Linked DNA regions of Elephas maximus indicus. The protein of the gene in region 2 interacts with the protein of the main gene of each other region in a pairwise test. Links are inferred from orthologs where the notes say so. Each region holds a gene or a part of one and is shown on either strand. Other genes may lie near its edges.

Region 1 (6,478 bases), on a different chromosome or scaffold from region 2:
TCAGGATTGGTCACCCAGGTTCCTGCCCATGATAGCCTCCTCTGGCTCCATATCCTGGGGAGGACCAAAACTTGAAAAGATAGCTTTTTCCCTTCAAACCAATTAGGTGATTCATACTAACAACACAGTGGTAGGTGCCCAAGGTCCCCACACTGTCTGTAACTTGGGGAAATGCCCACCTTGTTTCTGCTGGGCTTCAAGGTGGAATTTTGTACAACCTAGATCAGGAAGGAGTGAACCATTTGCTCCGTTTGGCATGGATGACATTAGCACTACAGGTTTTTTGTCTTTTAGGCCCTAGGCAGGCAACTTATTTAGACCCTTCTTGGTGTTGCTTTTACCTTAAATATTCTGAACTTCAGAAATAATGCCCTCTGCCCTGCTGACAGTGATGTAGTAGACCAACAAAAGGGCTTCTGGGGTGTTAGACCTGAACAAAGGGGTCTGATTCTGCTTGTCTTTATCATCAATGTCTGCTCTCAATGAGCTTTCCCTTTCAACCTCCCATCTAAGCAGTTGATGAGGGTCTATCAGGCCAAGATTAATGCTTAACTGTTGTGTTCTCTGGTCCCTTCAGATCAGTTTTGCTGCAATTTCGGCTCATGGGAGTCTCAAACATAGCTGTGAAATTGAGTTCAAGGTATAACAATGCCTTAAAATGTGCCAGGTTATGAGGTTGCTTGGCTTAAGAGTTAATACACTGTAAAGCACTGTGAAATGAGATTAAGGTGATGTGTCATGAAGTCAGGGGAAAAACTAGTTGTGAAGATGGAAGCCTAGGGTTTATGTTCCAAATTTATCTTGTACTAATTGTGGGAACAATGTTTCCACCTGTGCCTATAAAATGGGGCTTAGAACATCTAGTCCTGGTGGCTCTGTGGTTAAGAGCTTGGCTGCTAACCAAAAGGTTGGCAGTTTGAATCCACCAGCAGCTCCTTGGAAAACCTGTGGGGCAGTCCTGTGGGGTTGCTATGAGTTGGAATCGACTTCACAGCAACGATTTTTTGTCTGCTTCACAGGATTGTTTAAAAGATTAAGCTGAGTAGTTTTTTAACTTAGAATTTTGTATAAATAGAAGAATGGATCAAAAAATTATGTACTGCTGCTTAGCGTCCCATGATAAATCATTCCCTAAAAATGTAGATCTTATTTCTGGGAAAGCTAGCTCCATGTATTAGTCTGTAGATAGTGTACACCAACGTGAGTTGCTCTTGACATTCCATGTATACACCTGTTAGGTTCTAGGTTTGCAGGGAAAACAAGTTTTAGGGAGTAAGAATAGGTGCAGTGAACCACATGGCCTACTAAGGAGACTAACCAGAAGGTCGTGGGAGCTTTTCCTCCTTGGGCTAAATCTCTAGCTTCGCACCTGACCTAGCTGGTTCCAGAGCCAAGGGTTCCAGGGTTTTTGTTGTTGGTTGGCTTTTTTTTAATGCTTTGGGATTTCATTCAACTTAAAATTTTTTTGTAAAATTATTATTTGCACTGCACGTGGAACAAATAAAGGTTTGAGTGGTCTGCAGTTTTTCCCATCCCCTTTTTCCATTAGTTTTTCATGGAATTTTCCCAGATAAAATCTGTGAATACACTAACATGTTTAAAGCATGGTAAACTATAGACTTCCACATGTTGGATTTTTTTCTTCACTTAATGTATCTTCAAAGTCATCCTCGGTGTAAGTTTTATGATCAAAGCTTTATTAGCTACCCATCTGGAGAATGGATGTCTAAAAACTCGATTTAGATCCCAGATTCACTTTTCCACTACCACCAGGATAAGGAATTGTTAGACCCTAGGCAGTGCTTCCCCCAGGGAGTCAAACCCCGTTAGTGTGACCCAAGTAGCAATTTGTACGTGAAAAAAACAGGGCTGCGTCAAAGATAGTAAAGCATAAAACCTGCTTCAGTTACACGTAAGGACTGGGGCTAGGTTTTCGAAGCTTTTAGCTGAGGCTCACGGTCCAGAAGCAAGGAAACAAAGCTATCCTGACGATGACACCCCACGAGGATCTAGTCAGCTGAGACGGTCGGGGTGAAGGCCGGCAACCAGAGTCCCCAGTTCGCGCAGAACGTAGTCGCGCCCGCCAGGTCTGCGCTGCAAAGAGCCTCGAGCCTCAGGAACCACCACGTACCGTTTACGGCCGCGCGGTCGACACCTCGGCCGAGCCGGGCTCGGGGCGGCTCCTCCAGCCGACAGTCGGCGGCGCGCGGGACGGCACACAGGCCGCGGCCTCCCAGGGCTTGGGCCTCCGCGGGAGCTGGGACGCCGTGGGCTCCCCTTGGGTCGCCACGATGTCGCGCCTCTCCAGGCCCGGGAGCTCCTGGCCCTGCTGGACCAGCTGCACAAGTTGCGTCAGGGTCACCGAGGCCGGGTCGCTCTGCACGGCTGTGGGAGCTCGGACGCGGGAGGTCGTGCTTCCGGACCGCTCCATGTTGGGCCGCGAAACCTGACCTGCTAGCGAAGCAAACACTTCCGGGTGGTATGGGTGCAACCACTATCGGAAGAAATGAAGGGGAGGTCGTAGACCATACCAAGCCGTTCCAGTGGGGGGAAACACTTGAGAACCCTGAACGATTCTTCTCGGAAAGGCTTCACGCACGTACACAATTTAGACCACCTCCAGAGCCCCGACGTGGGAAGTGCTTTAGAAGAAAAAGAATTGCGCCAAAACTTGAAGGCTTGCACAGAATGCATGCAGGCACGCTGATCCAGGCAAAAAGACCCACGTTTCCACATTGCACACTTGCACAGGCACTGCACACGTACCTAGTTTCATGCACACGCAGAAATGCGAACACACAGGGCACGTCCGTGTATAGACACACGGCAAGGGGCCAATTCCCAGGCGGGGTCCTCAGCGCAGTGTAGAAAATACCTGTGAGACTGTCATCAGTGGCTTCAGGAGAACTGGGAATGAGAGATACCATTGCAGAGCGTCACCACTCTTCCCATTTCCTGCCATCCGGATCCTATTCTTGGTGCTCCCAAAGGGAATGGGAGAGGTGAAGGCAAGTCAGGTGCGCCACAGTCGCTCTGGCGACTAAGAAAGTCGGTGTCAATAATTCTGAGGCTTCTAACTTATCAAAAACTAGCCTGGAATATACAAGGAACTCAATGGAGAAAAGACAGAAGATGTCAAGTATTTCATTTTACTTGGATTCACAATCAACACCCATGAAAGCAACAGCCAAGAAATCAAAGGATGCATTGCATTAGGAAAATCTGCTGCAAAAGACCTCTTTAAAGAGTTAAAAAGCAAAGACATCACTTTGAGACAGGTCTGGGGTCCTGCGGTAAAATTAACCCTCTTGTGACCCAAAAACCAAAACCAAACCAGTGCTGTCGAGTCGATTCCGACTCATAGCGACCCTATAGGACAGAGTAGAACTGCCCCATAGAGCTTCCAAGGAGTGTGTGGTGGATTGAACTGCTGACCCTTTGGTTAGCAGCCATAGCACTTAACCACTATGCCACCAGAGTTTCCCTCTTGTGAACAGAGGCTGTAAAAATTCCAAAGCAAACAAGGCTGGACACAGGAAACCAGTATCTCAACCTGAGGCTAAATTTTAAACCGTAAGCAACCAGATTTCCCTTAATGCTTCCTCTTAGGATTGTTTTTCAGGTAAACCAACTAAAACCAGCATTCCACACCGGCGCAGAAACAATTTGGTTGACCACTGTATGTCCTCATCCCATAATAAGTCCTGCCTAAGAACCAAGAAACTGGTGTCAAAGAACTAAAAACGCCAGACATACAGCATCAGATAAAGCCAGACCCAGTTTAGAAACGAGAGGTCCCACACCCACTTCCTTGCTAAGACTTAGCCCAGTCCTTTTAAATATGCATGCTATATCCCAGGAGTTTAATGAATAACTTCCCTCTTACTGCATAGTATAAAACTTCTCCCACCCCTTTGTTCTGAAAGATAATGCTTTGAGAGTGATCTTTCTATCTCCTAGTCCTTGCAAGTATTAAACTATGTCTCCTTTAAAATCCACTTGACTGTAGTTATTCTTAATAAGATTACAAGCGCGAACCCATTTAAGGACTAAGGCACGCCTGACCCAAGCCATGGTGGTTTTAAATGCTTCATATGCATGTGAAAGCTGGGCCATGAATAAGGAAGATGGAAGAAAATTGATGCCTTTGAGGTGGCAAAGAATTTTGAATATACCGTGCACTGCAAAAGATCGAACAAATCTGTCTTGGAATAAGTCCAGCTAGAATGCTCCTTAGAAGCAAGGATGGCCAAGTCTTAGTCTCACACACTTTGGACACGTTATCAGGAGGGACCGGTCCCTGGAGAAGGACATCATACTTGGTAAAGTAGAGGGTCAGCAAAAGAGAGGAAGACCCTCAACAAGATGGATTGACAAAGTAGCTGCAACAATGAGCTCAAACATAACAACTTTAAGGATGGTGCAGGACCAGGCAGTGTTTTGTTCGTTGTACATAGGCTTGCTATGAGTAGGAACCTACTCGATGGCACCTAACAACAACAACTCAACAACAAAAAGACCACCCCATTTAAAAATGGGCAAAGGTCTTTGTCATGGATTGAATTATGTCCCCCCCAAAATGTGTGTATCAACTTGGTTAGGCGATGATTCCCAGTGTTCTGTGGCTATCCTCCATTTTGTGATTGTCATTGTATGTTACAGAGGATTAGGGTGGGATTGTAACACCCTTACCAGGTCACCCTTACCAGGGAAGCTAGCAGAGAGGGGGGACTTCATATCACCAAGAAGGCAGTGCCAGGAGCAGAGCACTTCCTTTGGACCCGGGGTCCCTGAGCAAAGAAGCCCCTAGTCTGGGGGAAGATTGGTGAGAAGGCCAACAGAGAGAGAAAGCCTTCCCCTGGAGCCGACGCTCCACATTTGGACTTTTAGCCTACTTTACTGTAGAGAAGTAAATTTCTCTTTGTTAAAGCCATCCGCTTGGGATATTTCTGTTATAGCAGCACTAGTACTAAGACAGCCTTGAACGGACATTTCTTCAAAAAAGAGATACAAATGGCTAACAAGCACATGAAAAGATGCTTATTAGGGACATGCAAATCAAAACCACATTGAGATACCACTTCATGTTCATTAAAAAAAAAAAGTTGCTGTGGAATTGATCCTGACTCGTGGTGACCCCATGTGTTATACAGTAGAACTGCTCCAGAGGGTTTTCTTGTCTGTGGCACAAGCAATTGGCAACTGGCTAACCCAAAAGTTGGTGGTTCAAACCCACCAGCAGTTCCATGGAAGCAAATCCTGGCAAACTACTTCTGTAAAGATTACAGCCAAGAACCCCATGTAACAGTTTTATTTTGTGACACATGGGGTTGCCATGAGTTGGGGCTGACTGGATGGCAGCTAACGACAACAACAATCTTCACACTTAAGGTCACCATGAGTTGGAATCGACTAGACTGCAGTGGGTTTAGGTTTTTTGTTGTTGTTTAATCTTAACAGAAGCAGATTGCCAGGACTTTCTTCAACAGTACCATCGGGCAAGTTCAAACTACTAATCTTAAGGTTAATAGTCAATAGTCGATTGCTAACCATTTGCACTACTTAGGAACTTTTCACACCCACTAGGATGGCTATTATCAAAGCACACGCACACACACGTACAAAAACACCAGAAAACAACAAGTTTTGGTGGGATTCTAAAATGGTGCAGCCACTATGGAAAATAGTTTGGCAGTTACTCAAAAAGTTAAACATAGAATTACCTTATGACCTATCAACTCCACTGCTAGGTATGTATCTCAAAGACTTGAAATCAGGGACTCAAACAGGTATTTGTACCCCAATGTTCATTGCAGCACTATTCACAAGAGTCAAAAGGTAGAAACAATCCAAGTGCCCGTCAACAGATGAATGGATAAACAATATGTGGTATATCTATACAATGGAATATTATCCAGCCATAAAGAGACATGAAGTTCTGATACATGCTATGACATGGATGAACCTCGAATGCATTGTGCTAAGTGAAATAAATCAGACACAAAAGGACAAATATTGTATGATCCCACTTATATGAAATATCTAGAATAGGCAAATGCATAAAGACCAAAGTTTATTAATAGTTCCCGGGGGCTGAGGGAAGGGAGGAATGGAGAGTTATTGTTTAATGGGTACAGAGTTTCTGTTTAGGATGATGAGAAATAGTGGTGATGGTTGTATAACATCGTAAATGTAGTTAATGTCACTGAAGTGTACACTTAAAAATAGTTAAATGGAAATTTTATGTTATGTGTATGTATATATAGCCATAATAAATCTTTTAAATTAGAAAAGTAAAGCTATCATCTATATGAAACCAAATGGTCAACATTTACTCAAAAACAAAGAAAAGAAGGAAACTAGATTACTAGAAACGGAACAAGCAGAATGGAGATAATGAGAAAGTCGACACACTGAAAAATATAACCAATGTCACTGAACAAGTTGTGTAGTAATTTAACAATTACTGGGAGCCTAA
Region 2 (8,015 bases):
CTGCTGTGAAGTACTCACCATATCTTAGACCAAGATCTGGCAAACTATAGCCCACAGGCCAAATCAAGCCTACTGCCAAGTTTTGTAAGTAAAGTACAGTAAAACCTGCAAAAGCTGGAACCTGTGTAAGGTGGAAACCTGTCAGAGAGGAAAACTCAATTTTTTTCCAATAAACCAAGCGAGAGAAAAGTGGTAAGGCTGCACCCTGTGAAAGGCAGAAAACTTGCAAGGCCTAGAAAAACAAGGCAGTCCTGTTGAGTTCTGGCTCTGACAGGTTTCACTGTATTACTGGAACACAATTATCTACTATTTGCCAACTCCTGTCTTAGACCATTATATCTCCCCACCCTCATTCTCTCCTTTGTTTTAATAGAATCACATGGACTCAGCAATGTTCAATGTTGACTCTCTTCCTCTAAAGCAGTCACTGGCTTTCTCCTACCTTCCTTGTCTTCACTTAATCTGCTAAGTTCTAAGCCCGTGCTATGCCAGGTGTGGCCCACAGGTTGGTGCCAATCCACAAACTGTTTATTACCAGTCCAGGATGATATAAATACAGTGATTGAGAATAAGTATTTAGGCACTTTCATGGCAATTTGACATTGTGTAACATCCAAGCACACAGTTTTCTAAAAATATCTATCAGTCCATAATGGGTGATATTCCTCATCTGAATGATCGCTGCTCAAAACCACGAGAGCTCATTCAACTCCGTAGTTTTCAGTGTATCAGTATTCAGTGTATTTTAAACTACAGGACTAAGATGCTGAGATTCCTTATATATGTCGTTCAAATAAAACCAAATTCTAAATTTAAATTTTCACCCATGAGTAAAATCACTGTACTGAGCATGTACAGAAAAATAGTTCTATGTTGCCTCCTCATGGGATCTTACTAGCTATGAATTTTGGCAAGTCCTAAGTGTATATGAAAGAAAGGAATCTGCATATAAGAGGAAAAAAGGTAATACTGCTAGTTCCTTTGATAGAAATATTGACTTTCTTCCACGAAGCTTTTAAAGTGCTGTACTCCGAGTCATCCCGTTTCCTCAACACAGATCTCTGAGGTATGAGGAGGGGGTTTATCATTGTGGGTTCAGTGAAAGAATGTATCATTTCAAAGCATCGGAGACTGAAACTACTGACCATGAGAATGAAGTAAGTCAATGAGTATGCCACTTTTAAATAATCTTACCCCCCAAATAGGCATACTTAGCTCTAGAAAAACTGGGCATACCTGGTCCCAGCCTACATGTTTATTTTCATTAGTTTTATAATATAATAAAGTGTTAAAGTGTATAATTCTTTGTTCTAGTAATGCCACTTCTGGGAATTTTTTTTCTACCAATATGCATACGCACACACAGATTGTACCAGGTAATTCACCACAGCACTCGTTATAGTTACAAGTTACATTTGTGTAAAAAGCATGTGTACATGAATGTGTATATGCACAGAATAAATATGGAAAAATACAAAAAGAACTGGGGGGGAGGCAAAAACGAGAAACTGGAGTTGTGAGATATAAACATTTTAGCATACTTTGATATCTTTTTAATTTCATACCATATACATGTTACTAATTCAGTATAAAAAATTAAAATAGTTCAGGAAAACTGGATGAATGGAAACAGGGAACCTGGGGTGGAGAAGGGGAGAGTGTTGACACATTGTGGGGTTGGCAACCAACGTCACAAAACAATATGCGTATTATTTAATGAAAAACTCTTTGCTATGTAAACTTTCACCTAAATCACAATAAAATAAAAATTCAAAAAGGGTTTTATGTAGTACAGCAGAAAAGATGTAGCTTTGACAACAGACAGACCCCAACTTAATCCCGGCCTCACTGCTTATTTACCCTAACATGAGCGTCTGAGCCTGCTTGTTCATCTGTCGGAGGAGGGCTATGTATGTGAAAACACCCAGCAAGCTGTAAGTGCTTTTTTAAAAAAGTTATCAGAAATGAACGAACCAGGCTGGACTTTAAATTGAACCAATATTTAGAAGACCTGTCTACTCCCCACCATGTAGCGCACCTGGCAATTTTACGCGCATTGCCGTATTTGGTCTTCACAACAATCCTTTAAGGTAAGAACTGTAATCCCATTTGGCAGATGAGGGAATTAAGTCCCCTGGCTTGAGTGTAAAAGGTGGGAAGGAGGCAGCACAAGGAAACTGGGGAAGTGAAGCCCACCTGTGGAGACGGCAGCGGAAGTCTGGAGAAGGCTGTGGTCAGAGTCGTGGCTTCGCTGGCCACTTTCACAGCCGCCTCGTCTGCAGGGTGGAAGAGGAGGCAGGTGCCAATGTGTTAGTGCCAAAACAAGGCTGCAGCTGCTCGCAGACGTCAAAGACAATGCGTTCCCTCTTCACCCTTGCCGGCTGAGGCGTCTCAAAAACACCTCCAAAAATCACTGCCGAGGAAGGGTAAGGAGAGGTACCCCCACGCTGAGGATACGGCGGGGGAGCGTGGTCACCTCCCTGAGGGAGAGTGGGAGGGAAAGGGGTTGGGACGCAGCTCAGGGTGCAGAAGGGCCCAAGGATAAACGGAAGAGGTAAGGGATGGGGACGCCAAGACTAGCACTCACTGAGTCTCCTCCAAAACTTCTCCCGATTGAACTCCTCGGTGGTCTCCTGCGCTTCGCCGACTTGTGGGTGTGGCGCGTGGGGGCCGGGCGGGGGCAAAAGAAAAGCTGGAGTAAGCGGAGCCAGCTCTGCCCCCCACCTCCTCCGCCCCGACCGCCGCCACCGCCCCAGCCTGCTCTCTCCCCAGTCCCAACCCGCCTGTCATCGCCCCGCAACGGCGTCAGCTCACCCCGCACTCCAGGCATGAGCGACCGCAGCTCCACTGCCAAGTGCCGGAGCTGCTCCAAAGGCGGAGCCAGGGTGGGGAAGGCGGCTGCAGGGGCAGCTGTGCTTGCCATCTCAGTCGCTTGCCTGGTGACTACAAACGTCGCCACCGCCGGTACCAGAGACGCACTGCGGAAGCCACCCCACTTCCGGGAGCCACAAACTGAGGTCCGCTTCCGGCAACAACCCTTCACGCCCCGCCCCGGGAGCGCTGCCTCGCCCCTATCACTTCAGAGGCCGAGCCACGTGTCCACGTCAGCAGTCACTCTCCGAAGACAGGCCCCGCCTTCCTCCCGCCCCCAGGCGCCAGGCCACGCCTCCTCCCGCTGCCTGATGCTAAACCGCGCCCGCCCCTCCCCGCCTAAGGCCAGGCCACAACACGCAAGAGCCATATTGATTCCTCATTGATTCATTCATTTATTTGATTAACTGAAAACACCCCCGACTAAGGAAGCTGAGAACCATAACCCTGCAGGAAAACAGGGCTAGGAGCTAACATCTGAAGGGCAGTTAGGGTCAGGTCCAAGTTCCAAGTTCCCTGCCCCTGAAGTGGCACCTCTGGCAACTGCTGAGTGCCAAGCACTGTACTAGGTGCTTTATGTGGGGTAACGTAAACACCCTGGGCCTCAGATGCTCCCATACATACACCCAGCCTGTGGATCCACCCTGAGGATCTCCTAGATTAGGGCTTTCTCTTCACAAAGGTCAATCAACCTTTTGCATTCTTGAGGAAGAAAGAAATCACAGCATTAATTAGAGATTTTCCTCCAGTCCATTCTGCAGCAATCAGTAGTGGGTAGTCCCTTTAACTCCCAGGTGTCCAAAAAGCTGCAGCTCCACGAAGCTCTGCCACCAGCACTGGCTCTCCACCTGCTTCACTAGAGGTGGAGCTGAGCTGGGCCCAGCTGCTCATGGGGAGGCATGGCCTTCAGGAGCTCAGGTGGCTTTTTAACTGCACAATGAAGGTTCCAAGCTCAGTGGGGTTCAGTGTCCACACACAACGAATGAGAATGGGTGTCAGCAGTGTCAACCAGGTCCGCAAAGGGGAGAAGAAAAAAGCTAGGGTGCCATACGTCACGTGAAGGAAGTAGCAGGAGTAGACCTGCCAAACGTACAGTAGTAGCATAAGTAGGTGAACAGGTACAATTTTCAAGTATTTTCCTTGGTGGAGATGAGATCTGAAGTTGTGACCAAAGCACCGCTGCAACAAGCTCCAGGACAGGTAAGTCATCAAGGGGATGTTAAAAAACACCAGCTGCAAAGAGGAGCAGAGGAGAACCATTAGCTTTCTACCACGCCTTGGAGGGGTAGGTATCCTTAATACATTATTGGTAGCTCCCAAGAATGTTGCCTTTTCTCTTGGGGTTAGTTAGTTCTCTGATTCTCTCCTTTGATCACTTGCATATTATACAACAGTTCACTTATACTATAGTTAGTTTTGTATTTGCCTGTGTCCTTTTGTTCATCTTAAAGGCAGGTGTCATTTATGTTGAAATCTCCACTACCACATAACAGCAGATACTCAATAGAGTTTAAGTTGAATTGAGTATGTGTATGTGTGTGTTTATACTCATGTGTACACACACACACATATATATATATATATATAGGCTCTAACTTTTTTTTTTTTTTGGTTGATGGGAACTTGGGTATCAGTATTTTTTTTCCTTATCTCTATTTGAGGCGGCATGAGTGCTGGAATACAAATTAGAAGCTTTAATACAAGCTTAGGTGCTGTTACGATTCATTCATTTATTCAAAAAGTAATTACTGGGCACTCATTATGTGGAAGGCACTGTACTACGCTCTCAGTTTTGGACACATGAGTGAGCAAGTCTGAAAAGATCCACTATGGAGCTTACATTCTAACAGGGAGAAGAGAGACTGAAAAAAAAAAAAGATAACTGGTTGTGGTAAGTTCAATGAAAGAAAGAACTGGTCATGAAAGTAACTGGGAGATGACCTCTCTGAGGCCTGAGGACAGGAATGAATCAGTGGAGGGACATGCATTCCAGGCAGAAGGAACAAATAAAAAGCCCAAAGGTGGGGGAGGCCTTTAAGGCCAATGTGTCTGGAGAATGACCAACCAGGTGTAGATTGGAGCAGACAGTAGGGCCCAGATAATGTCACTGCTCTGCTTAAAGGGTTATACTCTGAGAAGTGAGTGAGCTGATTCAGGTCTTAAAAAGATCACATTGGATGCTTTGTGGTGAACTGACAGTAGGGGAGCAAGAGCAGGAGTAAGAAGAGCAGTGAGGGGTCAGTATAGTAGCCCAGGGAAGCCATAATTATGACTAGGTTGGTGGCAGCAGAGATGGTGAGAAGTGTATAGACTCACGGTGTATATTGGAGGTAGACCAAACAAGGTACAACTTGCTGATGGACTAGATATAGCACATGAGGGAAGGGGAAGAACTGAGGATACACCCTGGAGAAACTGGATGAATGGTGGCGCCATTTATTGAAATTGGAAAGAACCAAGAGAGGAACAGGTTTGGGGATGAAAATTAAAGGTTCTATTAGAGACATAATATTGAGATGTCTGTTAGACATCTAAGGGAAGATCTGAAATGACAGTCGAATATACAGGCACTTGAACTGCAGAGAAGAGGTCTAAGCCAGAGATACAGATTTGGGAGTCATGAACCTGTATGATGCATAAAATCCATTTATTAGTGTACTATTTATTAAACTATGAATGTAAACATTTACAAAGAGAAAGAAGTCTTTTGGCAAAGTTCTGGTTTTACTTGGTAAAAGAGTGCTCCCGAGATCCAGCCTCCATCTACATAATGGAAACTAAACTGGACCTAGGACCTTCTCACATATACAATGCTGCCATGCAGGGAATGTTCTAGCCTAGGCTCAGTGTTTGCTAGGCCAAGGTCTTGCCTATTTGACTGTCTCCAATCCTGCTCATCTTGTTTTACTGCCCTGGTATGAGGCTTTGAACTCATTGTGAACCATGTTTTTTGATCTCTTCCAAAACTTCAGATTACCACCTCAGATTCTGGTCCAGGTACAGTGGTTAAGAGCTCGGATGCGAACCAAAAGGTCGGCAGTTTGAATCCACCTGCCACTCCTTGGAAACCCTGTGGGGCGGTTCCACTCTGTCCTATAGGGTTGCTGTGACTTGGAACTGACTCAGTGGCAACGAGTTTGGTTTTACCTCATTAAACAAAAAACCAAACCCACTGCTGTTGAGTTGATTCCGACTCCTAGTGACCCAGTAGGACAGAGCAGAATTGCCCTATAGAGTTTCCAAGGCTGTAAATTGTTACAGAAGCAGACCGCTAGGTAGAACGGCTGGTAGGTTCAAACTGCCACCTTTTGGTTAGCAGTCAAGCATTTTAACCACTGAGCCACCAGGTCTGGCTTGTTGGTCTAGCGCCATCAGATGAGTAAAATAAAGAACTAGGTAAATACTTTTGAAATCTGTTTATGGAGATTTGCTATGGGTCAGGGCTCTTTGTGTGTTTTAAAGGACTCTTAATCCAAATGTATACCTAATCTATCAGCATTTCCCATGCAGGTACCCTGCTAAGACACCATGGGAAAGCCCAGGTCTCGTTTTTGCCCAGTGCCATTTCCATTGGATAAATAAGCCACTTTTCTTGTGTGTCTATTTTTACTTTCTTCTTCCTGAAACATTTTCGTTCTTTATTAATCATAATCAATTTTGATTTAGTGTGAACTCTATCATTTATTCTACTATTAGACCCTTATTTCATCTTCTGTCAATGAAAAAGCAAAATGAAACAAGTAACAGCAACAAAAATCTCTTTCACCTCTTACAAATCCTGCCTTCCAAAAATCTATTTTAGATGTTTACAAGAGAGTGGTGGAAGAAAGCACTTAGGAAGCACTCTAAATACAAACAGAACACCAGTTATTAAAGACTGCCCTGACTGCAAAGTCGGAAAGATGATCCACAGCATTTCATTTCAGATTTGGGGGGTAATTCATAACTGTAATGCAATTAGTCCAACAAGGCCAAGATGTTCTTAAATTGCATTTCCAACTTCTTACCTGGAGAATTCCAACTACAAATGTTAAGCTGCCTTGTAGGAAATGTCCATCAACAAAGATCCCAAAAGAAAAGCAGCAACCCAATTTGCCTGTAATGATTTCACCAACAAACCATGGTCCTAAAAGAGGCAATGGATAGGAAAGGAGATTATATAATTATGACTCTGATTACATACATCTATGAGATGCATTACAGGAATAATGAAAAGATATGAGACTACTTAAATCTATAAGCATTTTATTTGCCAGGCTTTTCTTCTTTGCTAATCTCTGTGTTGCATCTGATGTCCTAACTATCCATCTAAGTATCTGCTCCCTTCCTCCATATTTCTCTGGGTTGTAAAAGCTACACCGGGAATAGACATGTAAATGTAGATTCCAGAAACAGATTGGAGCACATTTATTAATTTTGGAAGGTTTTATTGCAATAATAACCTCAATATAAAGCACTATCATTTTCTTTAAGAAGCAAAGAGATATTCCACAGAAGCTTATTTTCCAGATAATTGAGATTTACTCCTTTAACCAGTGAAAAAATTTTCAACTACTTTTTGATGAAAATCTTTCTAAAATATACTTGTATGTACTTCTCATTCTCATTAACATAATGAATGTATTTTAATCTTTTCTTGATGACCCACAGTCATTACTGTGTACACCAACTACGTACTTAGGGTTAACGTATACAGAGTTTCACTTGCTTCTTTAATTTTTCATCTGGAATGCCATGCTGACTTTTCAGTCCCCTCTATTAATTACTGGCCCTTCTCAGGGTGCAGTTTCAGGGAACTACTGTATTGTCAATGAGTGGTAATGGACAGTCAGACTTCCCTTCTCAAAATGCAAATAACCATTTGTTGGCAAGAGTAGAGCTCAGCTTTTAAAAGTCATATGCAGTTTTCTCAGATACATATTACAAAAACTCCTTTAGAGAGATTAGCCTAAAAAAAGTGTTTTATCTTCAAGTTTCAATTTTTACAAATGGAGCAACTTCTGCCCTTTATTGTTTTCTTTTCCAGCCTAAGAACCAAGCCACTTGCTTTGCCTCCTGGTGTAAGACAAGTGTCTCAAAAAGCTTTGGCCCATCTTCTAACGGAGAGCTGACCTCCAAGGGGGAATGTGCCAGAGCTTGTTACA

What was found.
Region 1: the proteins of CCNDBP1 (region 2) and C1H6orf226 interact in binary tests that used the Homo sapiens proteins (3 or more experiments, as listed by UniProt). The two-hybrid records come from large-scale screens. The link is inferred for Elephas maximus indicus from reciprocal best matches to the Homo sapiens genes CCNDBP1 and PEX39.

What each region holds. Positions count from the first base shown.
Region 1 is NC_064819.1:107,310,575-107,317,052, forward strand, and holds C1H6orf226 (uncharacterized protein C6orf226 homolog), read right to left. Parts: upstream 2,465-6,478; 5' UTR 2,432-2,464; coding exon 2,135-2,431; 3' UTR 583-2,134; downstream 1-582. UniProt on the Homo sapiens protein: May be a peroxin involved in the PTS2-mediated protein import pathway.
Region 2 is NC_064828.1:12,855,076-12,863,090, forward strand, and holds the start of CCNDBP1 (cyclin-D1-binding protein 1), read right to left. Parts: upstream 3,016-8,015; 5' UTR 2,924-3,015; coding exon 2,815-2,923; intron 2,648-2,814; coding exon 2,588-2,647; intron 2,277-2,587; coding exon 2,197-2,276; intron 1-2,196. Other genes in the region: TMEM62 (transmembrane protein 62), read right to left, coding at 3,778-4,104, 6,879-6,997. UniProt on the Homo sapiens protein: May negatively regulate cell cycle progression. May act at least in part via inhibition of the cyclin-D1/CDK4 complex, thereby preventing phosphorylation of RB1 and blocking E2F-dependent transcription.